Drosophila melanogaster: one gene and its partners. The protein of the gene in region 2 interacts with the protein of the main gene of each other region in a pairwise test. Each region holds a gene or a part of one and is shown on either strand. Other genes may lie near its edges.

Evidence for each region.
Region 1: the proteins of CG13159 (region 2) and CG17440 interact in a two-hybrid assay, tested with the Drosophila melanogaster proteins (one large-scale study listed by BioGRID).
Region 3: the proteins of CG13159 (region 2) and Mst98Cb interact in a two-hybrid assay, tested with the Drosophila melanogaster proteins (one large-scale study listed by BioGRID).
Region 4: the proteins of CG13159 (region 2) and CG15141 interact in a two-hybrid assay, tested with the Drosophila melanogaster proteins (one large-scale study listed by BioGRID).

The regions. Positions count from the first base shown.
Region 1 is NC_004354.4:9,266,857-9,271,835, forward strand, and holds CG17440 (uncharacterized protein), read right to left. Parts: upstream 3,070-4,979; 5' UTR 2,939-3,069; coding exon 2,915-2,938; intron 2,855-2,914; coding exon 2,721-2,854; intron 2,659-2,720; coding exon 2,115-2,658; intron 2,049-2,114; coding exon 1,650-2,048; 3' UTR 1,582-1,649; downstream 1-1,581. Other genes in the region: Cfp1 (CXXC finger protein 1), read right to left, coding at 3,919-4,979.
Region 2 is NT_033778.4:12,372,677-12,376,719, forward strand, and holds CG13159 (uncharacterized protein), read left to right. Parts: upstream 1-2,609; 5' UTR 2,610-2,692; coding exon 2,693-2,923; 3' UTR 2,924-3,002; downstream 3,003-4,043. Other genes in the region: CG13160 (uncharacterized protein), read left to right, coding at 134-254, 320-474, 531-914, 972-1,152, 1,209-1,393, 1,447-1,590, 1,654-2,145, 2,198-2,365; Cpr49Aa (cuticular protein 49Aa), read left to right, coding at 4,022-4,033.
Region 3 is NT_033777.3:28,290,684-28,295,316, forward strand, and holds Mst98Cb (Male-specific RNA 98Cb), read left to right. Parts: upstream 1-2,114; 5' UTR 2,115-2,231; coding exon 2,232-3,029; 3' UTR 3,030-3,180; downstream 3,181-4,633. Other genes in the region: Mst98Ca (Male-specific RNA 98Ca), read left to right, coding at 776-1,780; UQCR-14L (Ubiquinol-cytochrome c reductase 14 kDa subunit-like), read left to right, coding at 3,451-3,786.
Region 4 is NT_033779.5:17,408,371-17,415,018, forward strand, and holds CG15141 (uncharacterized protein), read left to right. Parts: upstream 1-2,270; 5' UTR 2,271-2,410; coding exon 2,411-3,248; intron 3,249-3,278; exon of another isoform or gene 3,279-3,315; coding exon of another isoform or gene 3,316-3,813; intron 3,814-3,869; coding exon of another isoform or gene 3,870-4,217; exon of another isoform or gene 4,218-4,263; intron 4,264-4,424; coding exon 4,425-4,801; 3' UTR 4,802-5,129; downstream 5,130-6,648. Other genes in the region: CLIP-190 (cytoplasmic linker protein 190), read left to right, coding at 1-455, 523-653, 721-929, 989-1,035; Polr2J (RNA polymerase II subunit J), read right to left, coding at 1,388-1,423, 1,486-1,660, 1,718-1,807, 1,882-1,934; Rsph9 (radial spoke head protein 9), read right to left, coding at 3,316-3,813, 3,870-4,217.

The DNA of each region.
Region 1 (4,979 bases), on a different chromosome or scaffold from region 2:
AACAGCCAAATCGGAGCGATTGAATTTGGCACAAAAGTTTTCAAGTGGAGCACGTCACTTACCAGTAAAAGGAGGCAGGATTCGCAGGATATGTAGAATGGTGGCTAACTAGGAGACGAAGAGGCCCGGCAACTTGACGGATGGTTATGTGAGTATGTGTGCCTTGAAAGTAAACTGGCAATTTGCACAATAAAAATAGAAAAAAAAGAACGATATAGTAACGAACGCAACGCGAATCAAAAGATGCAACCGGAACTGTAGGATGTTTCATATTAATTATATAGATATATATATATGTATATATATCGTTTGGATACACCAACCTGTAGGTACAGTCCAGGACCTTGAACAAGAAAAAAAATCTTTACTTGATACCGTTCCGGTGTTGTGCTCCACCGAACACAATATCTATATTACTTCGTCCGTTGAGGGCTTCCCACTGCCAACTCATGAAGTACTTCTTGAATTTTTTCGGCCCTTGTGGATTAAATCTAGCCGATTTAGCTTAGGATCAGCGGCCTCGACTTGACAATTTGTATGTTTCACTCGCAGACCACGCGCGTTTCAATTTGCACAGTTTTGGAAATGGAATTACAAGCATATATTAGATCAACGAATGTAGATGCGTATCGGAGGAGGACGAGTCCATATGGCGGCGGATGTTGGCCTGGTATCTCCCGGCACTCCGGCGTTCACGCTTCCGTTACGATTTTACAAAATAAAAGATTCGGAATCGAATAGAAAAAACGAGTGTACGTTCCTGGCTTGGAATCAGAAGGTCGTGTGTGATGTAGAAAAGTTCCGGACAACAACTGGCATTGTCGACAGTTCGTCTGGGGCAACAGTCACAAATCGCCTCGACTACTTGATTGCCCGGGTAGCCGGATTCGTTCAGACTCGCTTGAAATTTCGACTTCACTTGTGTGACCTGTGTGTCCTGACATCCCTTTTGGTGTCTTGCACCCAACTACAGCATGCCCACTCTACTCCATAGTTTTCCATCGTTTTCAAAGTCCTGCCGTTTCCAATGGTTGCCCCCCGCTCTTCATTTACCCGGAACCATTGTTTTGGATATTTACACCCGGACTCGGTGGCCTATTCCTATATGATCTTCAAAATATGTTGAGCGTAGAGTATTCCTTTTTTCATGACTTTGTTTAATGCATTAATATTAACCTATCTGAATGTATTACTTTATCTTTACCTTTAGTTAAAAAAAAAGCCAACAATGAAACCTAACAATGAACAGAAAACAAATCGTATATAGAAATTATAAATAACTTGAATCAAGCTAATAACCTAATAAAACTAAGGTGTGTGCTGATGTAATCCATGTGAATGATATCCACGGTAGAGCTAACCCAATGTATCCAACCCCTTTACGTGCAGGTTGCTATCAATAAATGCATATTTGATGCTTAGTTTTCAATAACAAACATGGGCGTACCGCCGATCCCGGCGCGTAGCAACCTACTTCTGGCCGGGAAGCGGACACAACAGCTGGCGAGCGTGTTATGCGGTTGCCAGGAGAAAGGCGCCACTAGAAACTTTGCGTCGGGTAAGTCCAAAGATTACTGGATTGTCGTAGAAAAATATTTCTTGGACATCAGTTTATTGTTATTTCTTGCTATGATTAGGGGATTACAAATCTATGGATTTTCCGGTTTATGCTGTTGTTGCTGCAACAGCTGTCGCTGCTGCTGCAACAGCTGCATTTGCAGTTGCAGTTGCTGAACATGATGTGGCTTCAAGTGCAGTTGCTGCAGCAACTGTTGTTGCTCCTGCTCCTGCTGTTGTTGCAACTCCTGCTGTTGTTGTAACTCCTGCTGTTGTTGCTGCTGCTGCGGTTGTTGCTGCAACATTAGCTTTTGCTTCTCTTGGTACTGTTTCTGCTGAGTCTGTATCTGTTGCCTCTGCTTCTCGAACTCCTCCAGTTGCTCCTGCTGTTTGAGCACCAGCTCGTCCATGTTGAGCTCTAGATGCTTGCGTGTTTCCTCGGCGGCGCGGCTAGGCGTAATATTCCACTCTTGCATTTGTTGCGGCAGAATCTGAGAGTGTAAAGGACTTTGGTGTTTAATTGGAGTCTTATAGTCTGGCCAAAAAATGAAACTAACCTGAAATAGGCGTTCGATGGCTAGATTAGAGCCACACTCATCGCTGCAGTACTTGCTCTGCGGCCTCGCATGGGAGCAGCAATTGGGTCCGTGGCACTGCTGGATGCCCTGTAGCTCCGGATTGAGGAATATCTCCGGACTGACCGCCCGCGGGCTCACCTGGACATTGGAAGTCTTGGGTGCCGCCTTATCCCGCTTCGTACCTGCTTGAGTCGGCTGCGACTCCTTTGGTTCTTGGGCGCTGCTGTTTTTGCGCTTCGCTGCCGCAGTGGTCGGTGGCGGCGCTTGCTGGCTGGTTGTTGCGGGCGCCACCGGTGCAGCAGCAGGCGCAGCTCCCGATGGACCTACGCCCGGGGCATTGAGACTTGTAGAGGCGGCGTTCGATGCGGCTGCACGTTCGGTGGCCACCAGGCGGAATATAGTCTGCAGTTCGGGATTCTCTTTTTTGCAGCGCCGGCAGTAGTAATTTTTGATGTGCTCAGCGTCCTTCTCGGTGATCTCTATACAGTCGCCGTGGTACCACTCCTCGCAACCATCGCAGCCTCTGGAAAGCGTAGTTGACAAGTGGTTAGGCGGGATCTAGCCCTTTAAGGCCATTCAACTCACATCATGAACCTGGAGCAGTCGGAGGAGCGGCATATGCAGTACTCACGGTCTTTCTGCTTAAGAATGGTGGCTATCTTGGACTTGCGCTCAGGCAAATCAAATTCCCGTGCGATCTCCCGCCTGATTTCTTCTTCCTGTTTGGAAATCTCCTTTGTAGCTAAAAATATGATTGCTGTGCAGCGTGTGAAACTCACGGTCTTCTTATCATTGTCCGTCATCTCGCACCAATCTTTCTGACAACTAAAGTCCAATTCCAAATCCGTCAATTAAGTTTCAGGGAATTTTTCTTTTTGCGATGGAGATTGTAAATGAACTGTATTCCTGGCTTTGAATCAGCAGGTCGTGTGTGATGTAGAAAAGTTCCGGACAACGACTGGCATTTTTGACAGTTCGTCTGGGGGAACAGTCACAAATCGCCACGACTACTTGATTGCCCGGGTAGCCGGATTCGTTCAGACTCGCTTGAAATTTCCACTGCACTTGTGCGTCCTGACATTCCTTTTGGCTCCCAACTACAGCATGCCCACTCTAATCCATAGCCTCCATCGTTTTCAAGGTCCTGCCGTTTCCAATGGTTGCCCCCCGCTCTTCATTTACCCGGAACCATTGTTTCGGATATCAAAACCCGGACTCGGTGGCCTATGTCTATATGATCTTCAAAATATGTTGAGCGTAGAGTATTCTTTTTTTCATGACTTTGTTTAATGCAGTAATATTAACCTGCATTATTAAAAAAAGCCTACAGCTTAAGAAAATGTATTTAATATGCTAACTTATTTTCTAGATTATTTCTAAATACAAACTAACAATGAACAGAAAACAAATCGTATATAGAAATTATAAATAACTTGAATCCAGCTAATAAACTAATATTAAGGTGTGTGCTAATGTAATCCATGTGAATGATATCCACGGTTGAGCTGGCCTAATGTATTAATAGCATGTTGCTATCAATAAATGCATATTTGATGCTTAGTTTTCAATAACAAACATGGGCGTACCGCCGATCCCGGCGCGTAGCAACCTACTACTGGCCGGGAAGCGGACCCAACAGCTGGCGAGCGTGTTATGCGGTTGCCAGGAGAAAGGCGACACTAGAAACTTTGCGTCGGGTAAGTCCAAAGATTACTGTCGTAGAAAAATATTTCTTGGACGTCAGTTTATTGTTAGTTCTTGCTATGATTAGGGGACTACAAATCTATGTTTTTTTCTGCAGGTATATAATTTGAGTTTTCTGTGGTATTTGGGCCTTCTTTTGCTGCTGCTGCAACAGTTGAAGTTGAAGTTGCTGCAGATGATGTGGCTTCAATTGCAGTTGCTGTTGCTCCTGCTGTTGTTGCTGCTGCTGTTGTTGCTGCTGCTGTGGTTGTTGCAGCTGCTGCTGTTGTTGCTGCTGTTGTTGTTGCTGCTGCTGTTGTTGCTGTTGCTGTTGTTGCTGCAACATTAGCTTCTGCTTTTCCTGGTACTGTTTCTGCTGTGTTTGTATTTGTTGCTGGTGAGCCAGGCGTCGCCTCTGCTTCTCGAACTCTACCAGATGCTCCTGCTGTTTGCGCACCAGCTCGTCCATCACCTCGTGGTTGTAGGTGGAGTGCAGCATCAGGCCGAGCAGGTTCGCTCGCGAGGTGAGCTGCTGCCGCATCACGCGCTCCTGCTCCATCAGGTCGTCCATCTTGAGCCATTGACGCACACGCTCCAGATCTATCTCAGCACGCCGGATCTTCTCCCAGGCGTAGTGCTTGAAGCAATTCTTCTTTGGCGCACGACAAAACTCGCCCGTGGGATTGAAGACGTTGTTCACTAAGGGCGAACCACACACATCCGTATCGTTCACCTTCGGATCCTTGCTGTGCTCCGGACACAATACTCTCAATCGCTTACAGTAAGTCTTACTTGCCGGATTGTAGAAATCACAAAACATATTGTTTCCCTCCATTCGCGTTTTGAATATGCTCCCGAAGCTGGCCTGCGATTCGTATTTGTTGAAGCACTTCTCCATATGCTTGATGGCAGTGCGCGAGTGAATCTCGTGGCCACAGGTGATGCAGTACATGCTCTGTTCGTCCTCCATGTCGGCGGTGTCTTGTGACCCCAATGTATCAATGGAGCTTCGTTTGGCTCGCTCCACCACCATGTTGAGCTCTTCGGAGCGCTTCTCTAGCTCGGCAAGTGCGAAACGCACCAGGGACTGCTTATGACGAATGTTATCAAGATGCTTGCGTGTTTCCTCGGCGGCGCGGCTGGGCGTTAGATTCCACTCTT
Region 2 (4,043 bases):
ACCCCCCGAAAGTCGGCAACGCCATTGGTGATTCATATATTTGGGAATGCTCTGATCGCATTTCCGATATGGGGGCTGCTATATCACCCGTCTGGCTGCTGATCAATTAATCTAATCTTCCGCCTTATCTTAGCATTACAGAAACAGTGCCCCGCACCCGTTCGCCACCACAACGGCCGAGGAGATGTTCGAGGCTGGTATCATACCATCGGATACTGATTTCCGGATCTTTCGGGACTTTGGAGTTGTGCCAGGTGGGAATCTCGGCGCAAGAAAATATCCTTTTCAACCACACTACTCAGGAGCTCTTCTCTTTCAGGCTTGGACATGGCCGGCGTGTACAATGGATTCGTTTATCACACGAAATTCGATCGCTACGCGGTGATAAGTCTCGATTCCCTGCAGAATTCCGGCGACAATTTACTGGCCTTGGTATGGAGTATTTCGAATGCCGAAGAAATGTACGACACAGAGGTGGGTTTCCTCTTTCGAGTGGCTTTTGTCCATTTTTCATGGTAATCTTTCAACAGGCACACGCGGCGGGACATGCAGTATTCTTCGACTTTATTGGACTGTTCTTTGTCCATTACCAGGAGTCGACTAGCTTGGCCCTGAATCTCTTCTTCTCGTTCGGTGCCATTTTGCTGGTCTGCATCTCGTTGTGGCGAATGTCCCGGGTTACTGGACAGACTATGGGCACCTATGCCGGCGTCTTTGGACTCCTATTCCTGCTAGCCCTAGCTGGTGCTCTCCTCGCCGTGGCCTTTCCTCTGCTGATGGCCACCTTTTATGATTGGGGAAATAGAACGTTGACCTATTTTAGCAACAGTTGGCTGGTCATTGGGTTGTACATTTGTCCATCGGTTATTGGCCTTGTACTGCCCATGACCCTCTACTTGACGCATACGAAGTGTGTAAGTAGTATCACTTGTTAACGAAGTTATTTTGTTATACTAAGCTATCCTCTGCAGAACAAGATCCCCCATACTTATTACTTGCATATTGTGGGTCACGCGAACTGTGTCCTTTTGGCCATCTTGTGTTTGGGTGCAACGGCTCTTAAATACCGTAGTGCCTATCTATTTCTGATCTCTCTCATTTTCTACGTTGCTGCTCTGATCATTAACCTACTGACCCGTCTCCATTGTCGCGGTAAGTTAGCTTATATATTCGTGGAGAACTTTTAATGATTCATGCCAACACTTTAGGTTATCTGTGGTCACTGGTGCTGATTGTTTTCCAGATTATACCCTTCATTTACCACGCCTACTTGTTCCACATGTTCATACTTATTCTCATTCCGATGACTGGTCGCTTTGGCGTCTCCACCAATCCGGATATACTAATCGGCGCTCTATGTGGTTTTGGCACAATTTTGGCGTTATCTTTTGCTGTAAGAAAGTTATTCACATTTATTGACTACTTTACTTAATCAGTTTCACTTAGGCTCCTTTAATCAATGTCTTTCGGCGACCGAACTGCATGCTGGGTGGTCTGGCACTGGTTATGTTTATTTTCTGCATGATTGCCGTCTCGGATGTCGGATTCCCGTATCGGCCCAAAACAAATGTCATGCGTGCCGACTTCATGGTAAGGGAAACACTAATAAGCATCCTTTGAAAGACGACTAAGTTCTATTCTTTGTCGGAGCAGCAAGTGCATCGCAAATTTTTCGAGTACAATGGTTCCATCAGCCACGAGGATTCTGGCTACTACTTCCATCTGGGGGATCGAAACAAAGAGGCACCTCTGCGCGATCACATGAACCTGACCAACCTGGTACGCCTGGGCGAGGATTGCGACTCCGAGCTGATGTGCGGTATTCCCTGCTACCGATATTGTAGTGCCCGGGAGCATGCACTTTGGCTTGCTCGAGAGGAGCCCGTGGAACTGCCTTATCCAACGGTCTTGGAGTTCCTTAGCAAGACAGTTCTGTCCGGTGGCTATCAGGTGCGCTATGAGTTCCGGCTAACTGGTCCGCCAAATATGGGTCTGTTCTTCAAGCCACTGGATGGTGTAAAACTACTCCGATGGACGTTTGCTCCCGCAATGCTGGATAATCCGGCCACTTACAGGCCTCCTCTGGAGGTCATGTTAACCTACGGTATTGATAACACTCCCATCGAATTCTTCGTGGAACTTTCTGTGCGTATTTAATGGGTCGTTCTGATAACTATACTAACTAACTGATTCTTAGAAGGACGATGGCAACTTCAATGAACCCGTCTTTGAGATGGGCGTCTCTGGACACTATGTCAGTCCACATGATAAGCGGGATGCGTTGAGCCTGGAGTTCCTTGCCACACTTCCGGACTTTGCCTTCTCGATGGAGTGGCCCAGTAGCTACGAACGGCATATATTCTAGGATAGTTAGCTAATAAGAATACCAAGTCATTGACACTCCCAACCCGAAAAACTTTTATTTTTCGGAAAATGGAAGGGGATCAAACATTGGATGCATTTCACAATGAGTTGGTCGGTAAACATTGGTGGGGGAAAGCTAGCAATGTAGCAAACGGTAAAGGAACCATTTGTGCAAACATTACAGGGAATACTACGACTGCCGCAGTCAAAATATGGGTATAAATAGTGAGGCCTGGACCAGCGAAAGACACACTCAGAGTTCAGCAGCTCGTCCGTCGATAAGCAACAGCCAGCCAGCAATCCTAAAAGCCCAAAAAATCCAATCAACATGAAGTTCTTCGCTGTCCTCGTCTGTTTCTCCGCTGTCCTGGCCATCGCAATGGCATCTACCGCAACTACAACCAGCACTCCCACAACGCCCTCTTCGCCCACGACGACGACGTACACCTATACTACCACCCCGACCTACCCCACCTACACCTACACCACGGACACCACCACCACTAAGCCAATCAAGCAACAGCTCCTGTCCCTGCTGTTCAACAAGAAGTCCGGATAGAGCCGCCCATCCGATCCACGATGCTGCCACTTGATACGATCCTCATCACCTGAATAGCCAAATAAAAACACCAAATACCAAAAAACAAACAAGCGCCGTCTCTTGCTCTCACACAATACCGCAATCGAAGTTAACCATCTCACGTAGCATTGGGCGGTGGGACATTTGGGGCTTTACTTCCACCTCCACCTCCATTTCTACTTCGGCGGTAACTGACATTTGCTCAACTGGCAACGGAACGCCCCGGCTCAGGCATTACCGCCTTTTGGCCGGACCTGTTCAAGAAACATCTGTTCGGCTGCCGCAAAGGTCAAGCGGCACTTGCCACATTCAGTTAGCTGGTGAGTAAGTCAGTTGGCCAGCCAGACATGATCATGGTCAGGTGGCAGTCATAATCCCGCCAATGATGATCATCAAGCCGTTGAGTCAAATGTCTAATGACTGCACTGACAAATTGATGTAGGAATGCAGCAGTCTGTCCCTATTCCTCTCACGCTGCCGAGGATGAGTTATGAATGTCAAGCTGGTCATGTTCAACACGATCCGAGATGATCATAGTGCCTCCAACGCCCCTCGCAATACAGGTGCACAGTGGGCGATGGCTAGCTAGGATAGTTTCTATTGCAGCAAGCAATTGAAGATGCAACTGTGCTGATGATAACTTCCAGCATAACAACTTAATGTTGTGAGATATTATACTAAACTATATTTTTCTTTGCTCTAATGATAAAGTAGAGTCCCCACTGTGGCTGTCATGTAGACAACTCATTCGACAAATTGCAGCATATCGGATGGGTCGTGCACTTGTAGGTGGATTCGATTCGATTCGGTCCGGTCCGGTTCGGTTCATTTGCGCTCCATGGGAGATGGTATTGGCCTCCGACAAGAGCCACCTAAAAGAGGCTTCCGATCGGCGGGTCTTCAAAATGCTAGGCGTTCACTCTTTAATCTCCAACTGCAATAGTGTCTGTGTGCAAAAGTTCAAGCGATTTGGTATAAATATGCAAAGAGTCGCCTCTGTTGACCACAGTAACGGATCGAGACGAACTCGGAGCAGACGACCAGGACCCAGGATCACAGGATACAGCTCGGTTCGACATGCAATACACAGTAAGATGGA
Region 3 (4,633 bases), on a different chromosome or scaffold from region 2:
CAGTGTCGTCATGGCTGTGGCATGCACAAAGCGCCGATTGCAACGCCCATCCATCCACCCAGCAACCCCCCCCCCCCCCCACCTACTAAAGCTTTCAGGATATGCCATCCAACTACCAACTACCATACCGACCAAAACGCTTTTTTTTCGGCGCTGACATGTCCAGGCACTGGGGCAAAAACAAACCCATATATGTATATTCAATAGGCCGGGCGCTGCCAGAGTGTTTTCCGACGTTTTTCTGTAATTCGTTGTAGGTTTTTTCCAAGTTGGCTTTCGGCCGGTCCGAAAAAAGCGGCCTGCCTACATAAAGGCGCTAGCATATTAAAGGCTTAAACCCACTCAACGGCAGATGCCATATTGTTGAAATATATGCAGATACGTCGCGCATACGTCATGTGAAGATGGAATCCGGTTTGCAAAATGCATTCCATTCAAGCAGCGTTCTGTGATTTTTCATTGCAATCGGTTAAGCAATCGAATCCACCAGATTTATGTATTGTAAGCATATATTTCCATTCAAAGCTCAAAGCGATTTTCACCTTACCTGCACAACAAAAACACTACACTAGGGTGTGATCGTAGAGCTCGGTTTTTCAAATTTCGATCGAAGTGGGCCTGGATTATTGTGCAATGCTGTCGTCCTACTGTTATATCTCATTCAGTTTCCTGTTTCGCTCCGAATAACTTCCAAATTGAACAGTAAAAATTTGTAACAAAAATAAAGTATAATATTTTTCTAGAAATTTTATTTTGGAAAACTTAAGTCGAAAACATGTGCTCTCCGTGCGGTCCTTGTAGTCCATGCGATCCCTGCTGCGGTCCCTTCGAGTGCTCACCCAAGTGCTATAATGCCGCCCAATTGGAGGCCTTGCCACAATGTGCTCCACGTATTCCACCTCCCTTCCCCAAATGCATCACCGTGCAGCAACCACCACGCATGATCTGCAAGAAACGCGTGGTGTTCACGGAGAAGATTGTGCCGGAGCCAATGGTGGTTAACCGATGCAGACAGATTACCATTCCAAAGGTCGTTGATGCCACGCGGGTGATCAAGGTGCCCAAGCTGATTTGGGTGTCGCAGATGGTGCGAGAACCCAGAGTAATCTACTACCCCTCGATGATCCCCGATCCCTATGTGGTGTGCTATCCCAAGCGCGTCTGCGAACCCCGGGAGGTGTGTCAGTCGATCCTGTGCCAGCCGAAGCCACAGACCATCGACATTCCGCCGCCAAGGGAGTACTGCTGCTATCCAAATGGACCCATCAACTACAAGCCCAGTGCAGCGTGCCCACCCTGCCCCATTGGACCATGTGCTCCTGGAGGACCCTGCTGTCCGCTGCCCTGCTTCTCCACAAACCAGTATCCCGTTGCCGAGGGTAGGTGCGGACCCTGTGGACCTTGCGGTCCAGGATGCGGACCCTGCGGTCCGCGATGTGGTCCCTGCGGACCCGGCCCGTGCGGACCCTGTGGGCCGAGATGCGGTCCGGGTGGACCGTGCGCCGTGCCCAATTGCGGGCCCTGCGGCCTCACAATGCCGTCGGGTCCGTTTGTCCCGGCTCCGTGTGGACCCTGTGCTCCATGCGGGCCATGTGGACCGCTCGGCAATAGTCCTTGCGGTCCTTGCGGACCCTGCGGACCCTGTTCGCCCCCGTGTCCGTACGAGTCACCCGAGTGCGGCCCCTGCTACCCGTGCGCCCCAACTCCCTGGAATACCCACTGCGGCCCAGTTGGTCCTTGCGGTCCTCAAGTGCCTTGTGGACCCAGCGGCCCCTGTTAACATCATCGTTGTGCTGCCTGGATTGTTGTCAGAAACCGGTGCCCAGTGGACCAACTTGTCTATCACCAATACAGATTGCCATAGTGTATTCTCGCCGTTCTGCTCAAACACCACCAAAAAAGTCTACAGTTCTCTATACTTTGTCAACGCATGGACGACTCATTGGCTGTAAATAAAAATCGGATTTATGCATATATAAGGTTTTTTCAATTTCTTTTGACAGGTTATGCAATGGTTTCTATCCAGATAAAATTTTCTACCAAATTTTTGTCAAATAGTAGGCCTTGCCTCTGCTTGTCAATCTACCTATGTTCGTTACTCAGGCTTAGCTCGCATTTTGAATCCGGTTTCGCTTCGATACACTTCTAAATTTCTCTGATCAAATTTTATAAGAAACAAAAAACAAAAATTAACTTTTTACTCTTTCGGTTTATTCTAGTCGAAACTTAAAATGTGCTCTCCGTGCGGTCCTTGTAGTCCATGCGATCCCTGCTGCGGTCCCTTCGAGTGCTCACCCAAGTGCTACAATGCCGCCCAATTGGAGGCCTTGCCACAATGTGCTCCACGTATTCCACCACCCTTCCCCAAATGCATCACCGTGCAGCAACCACCACGCATGATCTGCAAGAAACGCGTTGTGTTCACGGAGAAGATTGTGCCGGAGCCAATGGTGGTTAACCGATGCAGGCAGATCACCATTCCAAAGGTCGTTGATGCCACGCGGGTGATCAAGGTGCCCAAGCTGATTTGGGTGTCGCAGATGGTGCGAGAACCCAGAGTAATCTACTACCCCTCGATGATCCCCGACCCCTATGTGGTGTGCTATCCCAAGCGCGTCTGCGAACCACGTGAGGTGTGTCAGTCGATCCTCTGCCAGCCGAAGCCCCAAACCATCGACATTCCGCCGCCGAGGGAGTACTGCTGCTATCCAAATGGACCCATCAACTACAAGCCCAGTGCAGCGTGCCCACCCTGCCCCATTGGACCATGTGCTCCTGGAGGACCCTGCTGTCCGCTGCCCTGCTTCTCCACAAACCAATACCCAGTGGCTGAGGGCAGATGCGGACCATGTGGACCCTGTGGACCCGGATGCGGACCTTGCGGACCCTGCGGACCTTGGGGACCAGGATGCGGTCCTTGCGGACCCTGTGGACCCTGCGGACCCTTCGGACCAGGCTGTGGTCCATGCGGACCGTGTGGACCCTGCGGACCTGGCCCTTGTGGCTTCGGTCCTTGCGGACCATGCTGATCTGTAAAACAGCTGGAAAGATCTACTTGACGTCTGCCAAAAACATTTTGTGACAACTCCGCGTTATGGAAGTCCACATCCGCGCTCAATTATATGACAGTCCAAATTAACTTTGCAAGTTTTGTAAATTAAAGAAGTGCATTGATACAATATTTAAACCACATTTTTTCTTCGGGCATTTGTTTCGGAAATTTCGTTGTTTCATTGCATTTAATATGCTATGTATTTTTCAGATAACGAAAGTTGAGATTCGGGATTTTTGTTTCGAAAGGCCTGTTGGGGAATTTTTATTTTATTTTATTATTATTTTAAAAACTCATACTTGTTAGTTCACCAGTGTAGCCCTGAGTCACCTGTCAGCTTGTGGACTTACTGGTAATAGTTGTAGTAGTCATATCCAAATTATTCTTGATCTTAAATCATGTCGAAATATGTGGCTAGAGTGGGCCCAGCGGTTTTCTCCAAGTTGGGAAAGTGGGCCTACAACATGTCTGGATTCAACCAATACGGCCTGTATCGCGATGACTGTCTGTACGAGAATGAGGATGTGGCAGAAGCAGTGCGTCGTCTGCCCCGCAAACTGTACGATGAACGCAACTATCGCATTCTTCGAGCACTGCACCTTTCCATGACCAAGACGATCCTGCCCAAGGAGCAGTGGACCAAGTACGAGGAGGACATCAAGTACTTGGAGCCCTATCTTAACGAAGTGCAAAAGGAGCGCGAAGAGCGTGAGGAATGGAGCAAAACTCATTGATCCGGATACTTCGGTTACAAAGAATGTCATAACCAAAACATAAAGGTTATTTAAATAAATCGTTAATATAAATAGGCATAGAAAAAAAAACAACTTTAATTATCTGGTTTTAATATCATAACATCTAATATCACTTTATCGCCAGCTTTTTTTAAGCGCGTCTCTCAATATCGTCAGCCGTTTAAAAATCCCCTGCGATCCACAGCAATGTCAACGCAAATAATTTTCGCATTAAGTGCATTCGCATAAATACAATATATGAAATTCATTAACAGCGAATACAATACAAATTAGTGCTGCTGGGTGGGGCGTGAGCCGCCCATTGAACATGTGTATGCCGCCCCACGATTTAAAATGACAGTGGAGGAGTGGGCGTGGCAGCGTCAGCGGCAAACAAAATGCGTGTGCATGGCCCGCACATCCTGTCAATCCTCGTATACTTATGCGCATCCTGTTTAAAATGCAGCAAACAGCAACAATGCAGTTGCAGTTGCGATTGCCGTTGCAGATGCAGATACTTTCGCAGTCGTATATATCTGCATCTCTGCCGCTGTCTGATTGTTCTGGCGCTGCCATTCGACCGGAAGAAATTATTGTTATTCGAATTGATCTGCCATAGTTTCGATTTCGATGTTGGCCACTGCGATAGGCAATGCTCCTGCCATGGAGCGATATCGCTGCGTCTGCGGCCAGTAACTGCCAGAGTTCTGATAACGTCAACGCAGGAGGATGCAGCAAACGTAATGGTTACCCTGTAATGTTAAGGGCTGAAGGTATGTAACGCTGTTCAAAATTTAGGTAAAAGTATCTCCTCAATCCTTAAATTACAAATAATAATTCAAGTAAC
Region 4 (6,648 bases), on a different chromosome or scaffold from region 2:
AAAAGAAGAGCCACAACGAAATTCAGGATAAGTTAGAACAGGCCCAGCAAAAGGAGAGGACTCTTCAAGAGGAAACATCCAAGTTGGCGGAGCAACTGAGCCAATTAAAGCAGGCTAATGAAGAGCTCCAGAAATCCCTTCAGCAAAAGCAGTTACTTTTGGAAAAGGGTAATGAATTCGACACCCAGCTGGCAGAATATCAGAAAGTCATTGATGAGATGGATGATGCGGCTTCCGTTAAATCCGCGCTGCTGGAACAGCTACAAAATAGAGTTGCGGAACTGGAGACCGCACTCCGTCAAGCCAACGATGCCCAAAAGACTGCTTATCTGGAGACTAAGGAACTGAGGCGCCAGCTGGAATCGCTGGAACTGGAGAAGTCGAGGGAGGTTCTGAGCCTAAAGGCTCAGATGAATGGTGCGAGCAGTAGGTCCGGAAAGGGTGATGAAGTGGAGGTGGGTTTCTTTTTTTTAAGCTAATATTTTATATATTTTGCAAACAATGGGCCTTGTCAATTTCCAGTCACTGGACATCGAAACCAGTCTTGCCAAGATTAACTTCCTGAACTCAATTATTGCTGACATGCAGCAGAAGAATGATGCACTCAAGGCAAAGGTGCAGACCCTTGAAACCTTGCCAATGGATTTCACCAAGTGAGTTAAATTCTTTTTCATCTCGGTCGAAGCATTTTCGTTCATAAATGTATATAATATATTTAAGACCTCATGCCTTCGATGCCCTGACAAAGCGGAAACCGGCTCCCAGACTTTTCTGCGACATCTGCGATGAGTTTGATCAGCACGATACGGAGGATTGTCCAATCCAGGGAAGCGAAGATCAAGACTACTCCACACCGTCATCCGAGTCCAACAACAACGAGAAGGAGCGGAAGCTGCCGGCACCCAGGAAATACTGTGATTCCTGCGAGGGTGAGTAAAATAAAATATCAAATTTTACTGACATTTAACAATGTTTTTCCCAATTACAGTTTTTGGCCACGATACGAGCGAATGTGCCGATGATGAAACCTATTAGTTAGCTCTAGTTAAATTCTATTATTTCCATTTTACTTTGTTTTAGACTCTATAGCATAACCATATTGCGAGATCTATCAGATGAGATACTTTTACCTCAGCAGAGCTTCACTCAATCACACAAAGAAATTTCTCTACTTAAAATTGTGATCTTGCGTTATGCACACATCCATGGATAGTAGTCTATTTTAAATTGTTTTTATTTATTGAATGCGATTCGTGGCAAACACACAATCGGTTGTTTTCGTAATTTTTGAGTGTAAACATAGTGTAAAAAATAAAATCAAGAACGTGGAAGAAGAAGCTTTTATTGGGTTTTCATAAGACTAAGGAATTAATTGGTAATTATATGATTAATCGCCGCCCTCCTTCTTCTCCTTGATGGCGTCCTGAAATCAGAGAAACATGGATATTAAAGAAATGTTTCGAGGACGTTTTGTGCAGGTAATACTTTGAAACGCTCTTCGAAGAGAGATAATTCTGCTAGAAGATCGGTTATGGCGTTCATGAATGCTTCCTGCGGAGAATAATCGGCCGTAGTCTGGATGCGGATGACGAACTTGTGCTCCAGAGGATGCGGAACCTTGTAGCCGGCAAACAGAACATTGGGATCCTTCAGCAGTTGGCTGCAGGCAAGAATGCAAATTTAATGTGTAATCAGACGGGCTTGTTGGCCAACATACTTGCGGATCATGTTGCCCAGCGTGTGATCCTCTTTGTTTATGGTGAATATAGCCGCATTGGTCACTTTGGTGTCCAGTTCCTTGATGATTCTGCAGCCGCGCCATAACAAACATAAAAACGGGTTAAAGGTGGTCATTCGGAGTAGTCTGTTTTCTTTACTCACTTTTTCTCGCCTTCATAGAGCAGAAATGACTCAAAGGTAGGTGGTGCGTTCATTTTGATGTCTTACTTTTCGTTAGTTACTGCAAAACTTATAAATTGTTTATTAAAATCAGCAGCACGCTCAGCAAAATTCTCCGGTACAGTGTTGACTAACGCCCAAGTGCAACACAAGCTAAAGTAGCTATATCTAGCAAAAAGTAGCTAGAACGCCTAGCTAATTTATTTTAGTATTTTATAAATCATTTTTAATGTGAGCATCTATTAAATAAAATAAAACTTGTACTTTGAATTTGAAAATAATTTAATTTGCTTATGTTTTTTGGTCATTAAATAAATAGCTTAATCACTTCTTGCAACCAACACTGGCAGCCGATACCTATCGCATAGACAAGCTGTTGTGGGCCATCCCTAGGTTTCGGTGGTTGAATTATTTGCAAATTTTTATCCAATCGCGCCAAACGCTGCGCATTCCGCCACTTTCGAGAAACTGACACGAAGCCAAGCTAAAAATACATTATTAAACAGCTGACATGAGCGAGTCGAATGCCACAGATGGTGTCCACGAGGTTGAGGAGTCCAATCCGCTGGAGCAGTCGACCATTACGATGCTAGATGTCCTGGAACAGGAAAAGGAGCTGGAGGACGAGTACGCCGCAGTGCTGGGCGCCTCCGATGAGAAGTCGTGCACTTACGCCAAGGGCCCCATCGGCCGACAGGCTCTGTACTCGTGCCTCACTTGTTGCCCCGAGGCGCGCGAGGATCTGGACAAGGCCGCAGGAGTCTGCTTGGCCTGCTCCTATCGCTGTCACGAGCACCACGAACTGGTGGAGCTCTATACTAAGCGGAATTTCCGCTGCGATTGTCCCACCCAGCGTCTGGGCAAGTGCTCCCTGAACCCACAAGTCGAGGGCGTTCAACCACGTAACGTGGGCAATCTGTATAACCAGAACTTCCAGGGGCTGTACTGCAAGTGCAAGCGACCCTATCCCGATCCCGATCGCACCGTTGAGGAGGTTATGCTGCAGTGCGCCATCTGCGAGGACTGGTTCCACTTGCCGCACATGAAAGCGCCCGGCGCCAGCGACAAGTGGCTGGATGTCTGCAGCGAAATGATTTGCGATGGCTGCATGGATGCCAAACCCTTCCTAAAGGACTACACTGGATTAGCCCTGCAGCCTGTGCTAGAAGATGCGAAGGAGGACAAGCCGGAGGCTGACGATAGCCAGCTGAAGAACGAGTTGGACCGCAGCATCTGCGATATCATGAAAGTTCCTGAAGGTGAATCTCAGCCAGACGAAGGCGAACCCAGCCAGAAGCGCGCCAAACTGGACGATTGTCGTCGGCCCAAACCAACCAAGGAGCATCAGGGTGAGTAAATTAATATAGATATACATGCGTATGCTCAAAAAAAAAACATATTTATGCAAAAGCAACCTTAATACATGAAAAGCAAGTCAAAGTTCTTCTTGCCATCGCCCAAGTAAAGGAAACCATGCTTGTGGGAGTTGATTTTGTGAAAGAATGTCATGCCCAACCAAAGGCACGACTTGATTATTACCAAACCCTCGTTCCGTTGCATATTCAGGGCAAAAGCCTGACACAGTGGTATTACGCAGTCAATGGTGTCCAGAAAGTCAATAGCATAGTTATAGTCGCTCCTCTTGGCCAAATTGACTTTGAGATCATTGCGGGGCAGGCGATAGAGCTGGTAATATGATTGGTTGTCGATCTGCAAGTCATTCAGTCCACGAAACATCTGGTTGGGTATAACACGACCATCGGTCATCTTGTAAAAGGCTCCGCGTGGGCAAATGGCACACTCCTCTGTTATAATAAACACAATGGCTGCCAGCCGTTCCTCCTCCTTAAGCTTGACCACTTCAGGGCGGCTGATACCAGCCACCTGATTGCCTACGATGTCAAAAGTGGGGTCCTGTGTGCGTACAATATCAGAAAAACCACCACCACATTTACGTACTATCAACTCACCAGCTTAACGTAGGTCATCAGGCTGGGATCTCCTATAAATGGCTCCCTTGCCAATATAGTCGCCTGAAATATCTTGGGGCTCTGTACGAACGGCAGCAACTGCCATTGGAACTGGTCCAGACTGTAGAAATACTTGCGATCCTTGAGACAGTCATTAGTGTAGCCAAAGGCAATGTAGTAATCGTTCTTGGTGGCCGTAATGCGACCCCAAAGATACATGCCCGTAAAACGATTGTCATTTTGTAAAGCGATCAGCGAGTTTTCAATCAAGATGCGCTGCTCCGGCGACAGCTTCATGCCGCAGTACATTAGGCAGTCGAGGCCCTCGGTGAAGAACTCCAAATTCATGACGAAAGTATCTTAGCAATTTATATGTGAAGTGTTGAAATAAAATATGGATTTAAGTGCTGAGAGTATTTGAAAGAAAACTCAGAACCGTAAAAAAAAATATGTTAGCGGAATGGATTTTTAATTACATGGCATGCATAAATCAGCACAAACTCTTTGAACTGCCAATTTCCCCCATTTATTCATCTCTACCCTTTCTCTTTCAAGGAGCTGCTTTCTGGACAAATGACTGGCGAAAATCACTCTGTCAGTGCTCCGAATGCCTGTCGCTTTACAAGGAACTTGCCGTGGAGTTTCTGCTGGATGTCGAGGATTCGGCTAAGACGTACGAGGAGCGCGGCATGAAGCGGGCTGAAGAGAATTCCAGTTATGAGCAAGGAATCCGGGCACTGGCCTCCATTGACCGGACACAGCAAATCGATGCGATTACCGAATACAATCGCATGAAGGACAAGCTAAAGGAATACCTGCAGGCATTCGCCGCCAGCAAGAAGGTAGTGACCGAGGAGGATATCAATCGGTTCTTTGCCGGCATGCGCAATGAGAACAATGCCAACCTGGGTCAGCCCTATTTCTGTCGCTAAACAGTTAGCACTCTATATTACTCTAGTATTACCCACATTCCCCCATGAAAGCGAAACATACATACATACATCATGTAAATTCTAAAGTTATATTTTATTTAAACAATAATCATTTTCAATTCACTTTTGTCAATAACGAAAAGTCGTAACAAGGCATCGGGCAATGAGATTCGCATTTCCCTCATTAAATTTATGTACATTGCGGTAAAATAGAATTATATAAGACAGGTTTTGTGTTGAAGTTCATTTTGGATTGAGACCTTTTTACATGTAGCTCTAATTGGTTAATTTCCGATATATTTTATGAAATATATGTACACTAGTATTTAGCAAAGTTTGTTGTTCATTTGAATGGCTGAATTCCCAAGCTATTGAGTTCTGCCTCAATGTCCTGGATAAGTTCGCTGGTGTCAATGGGCGCCATGCCTATGCTGCTGGAAATTAGATCACTAAACGATTGGGTGGGTTCATCTGCTGGAGGTTGCTGCTCCTGTGGCTGCTGTTGCTGTTGGTACTGCGACTGTTCTGGATGGGATTGGGCCAGATATGGAATGGACTCTGGCTGCAATTGCGGCAGGAACTGCTGAGTCTGTTGATATACCTGTTTAATGCCAAAATTTCCTTGTGGCGGTATGCTTATGGCACTCATTTTCTGACTTAAAAAGTCATTGTTATTGTTATTAATTAGTACATTGTTGTTATTATTGATTGGTGTCATAGAGCCACCACTGAAATGGGTAGGACTACAGCCGTTTACCGGAAAGTTTGAATTCTCCGGCAGATACATATGGTTATTCCTCTGTCCGATTTGAAACGGCGGAATGCTATCCACTGTACTGCAATTGGACGAAGGCGATGCGAAATTCCCATTAAATGTGAAGTTTGTGGCATCTGGCAAATAAAGATGAGTTTGATTTTGCCCCATTTGCATCGGCGGAATACTATCCACTGTACTGCAGTTGGATCGAGGCGAAGCGAAATTGCGTTCCACTGATGGACACTGGCTACTCTGGCTATCCACATCCATGAATCCATTCTCCATCTTGATATCCTGCACAAAATTGGGACTTCCGCCGGGAAACATCAAAGGCATACCAGGCGACACCTGTGTCTGCGGTGTTGTGGTCGCAATTTGTGGCTTGGAAAATATCGTATACTGGCCTAGAAAATAAATAAAAAGTTGTTAGCCTTGTGTTTCCAGTATTAACGAGAAAAGCGTTTCAAAACTTAAAATGCTTTTATTAAGATAAGCATAATTAAGATAAAACTCAGGTAAAACTAAAGCAATTTGCGAGAACTCAAAAGGGACAACAGCAGCAAGCCACAACATCAACCTGCCTTGGCAGTATCAACTTACATTATTTGATGTCCAACTTTGGTGGCAAAAATGGAGTTTGATGGAAACTAGACAAAAATTGGAAGGGTAGACACATTTTCGGTTGTCCGAATACTTAAAGATACCCTTGCCATTCAAACCTTTTGCTTATTTTAATAAACTTTTTTAGAGATTGGTGATCTAATAACTTTTAATTAATAAGATGAAAAATTGAAGTCGCAGCAAAAGTTTTTTAAAGTTTAAATAGTACGTATAAAATAATATAAATATTATTAAATATAATTTATTGTTAACGGACGAATATAATCGCTAGTTAAACATTTAACTATAACATTATTTTTTGATTTCTTTACAGGCAAGAGCATTTTAAAATTTTAAGAAATTGCAAAATAGTTCAATGCCACGACTTTTACGAAAATCTTTTATTCATTAATATTGAATACAATAAGAACGGGTGAAACAAACATTTTTCTATTCGAACGGTCTATATATTCATTAATGGGGTTCTTCG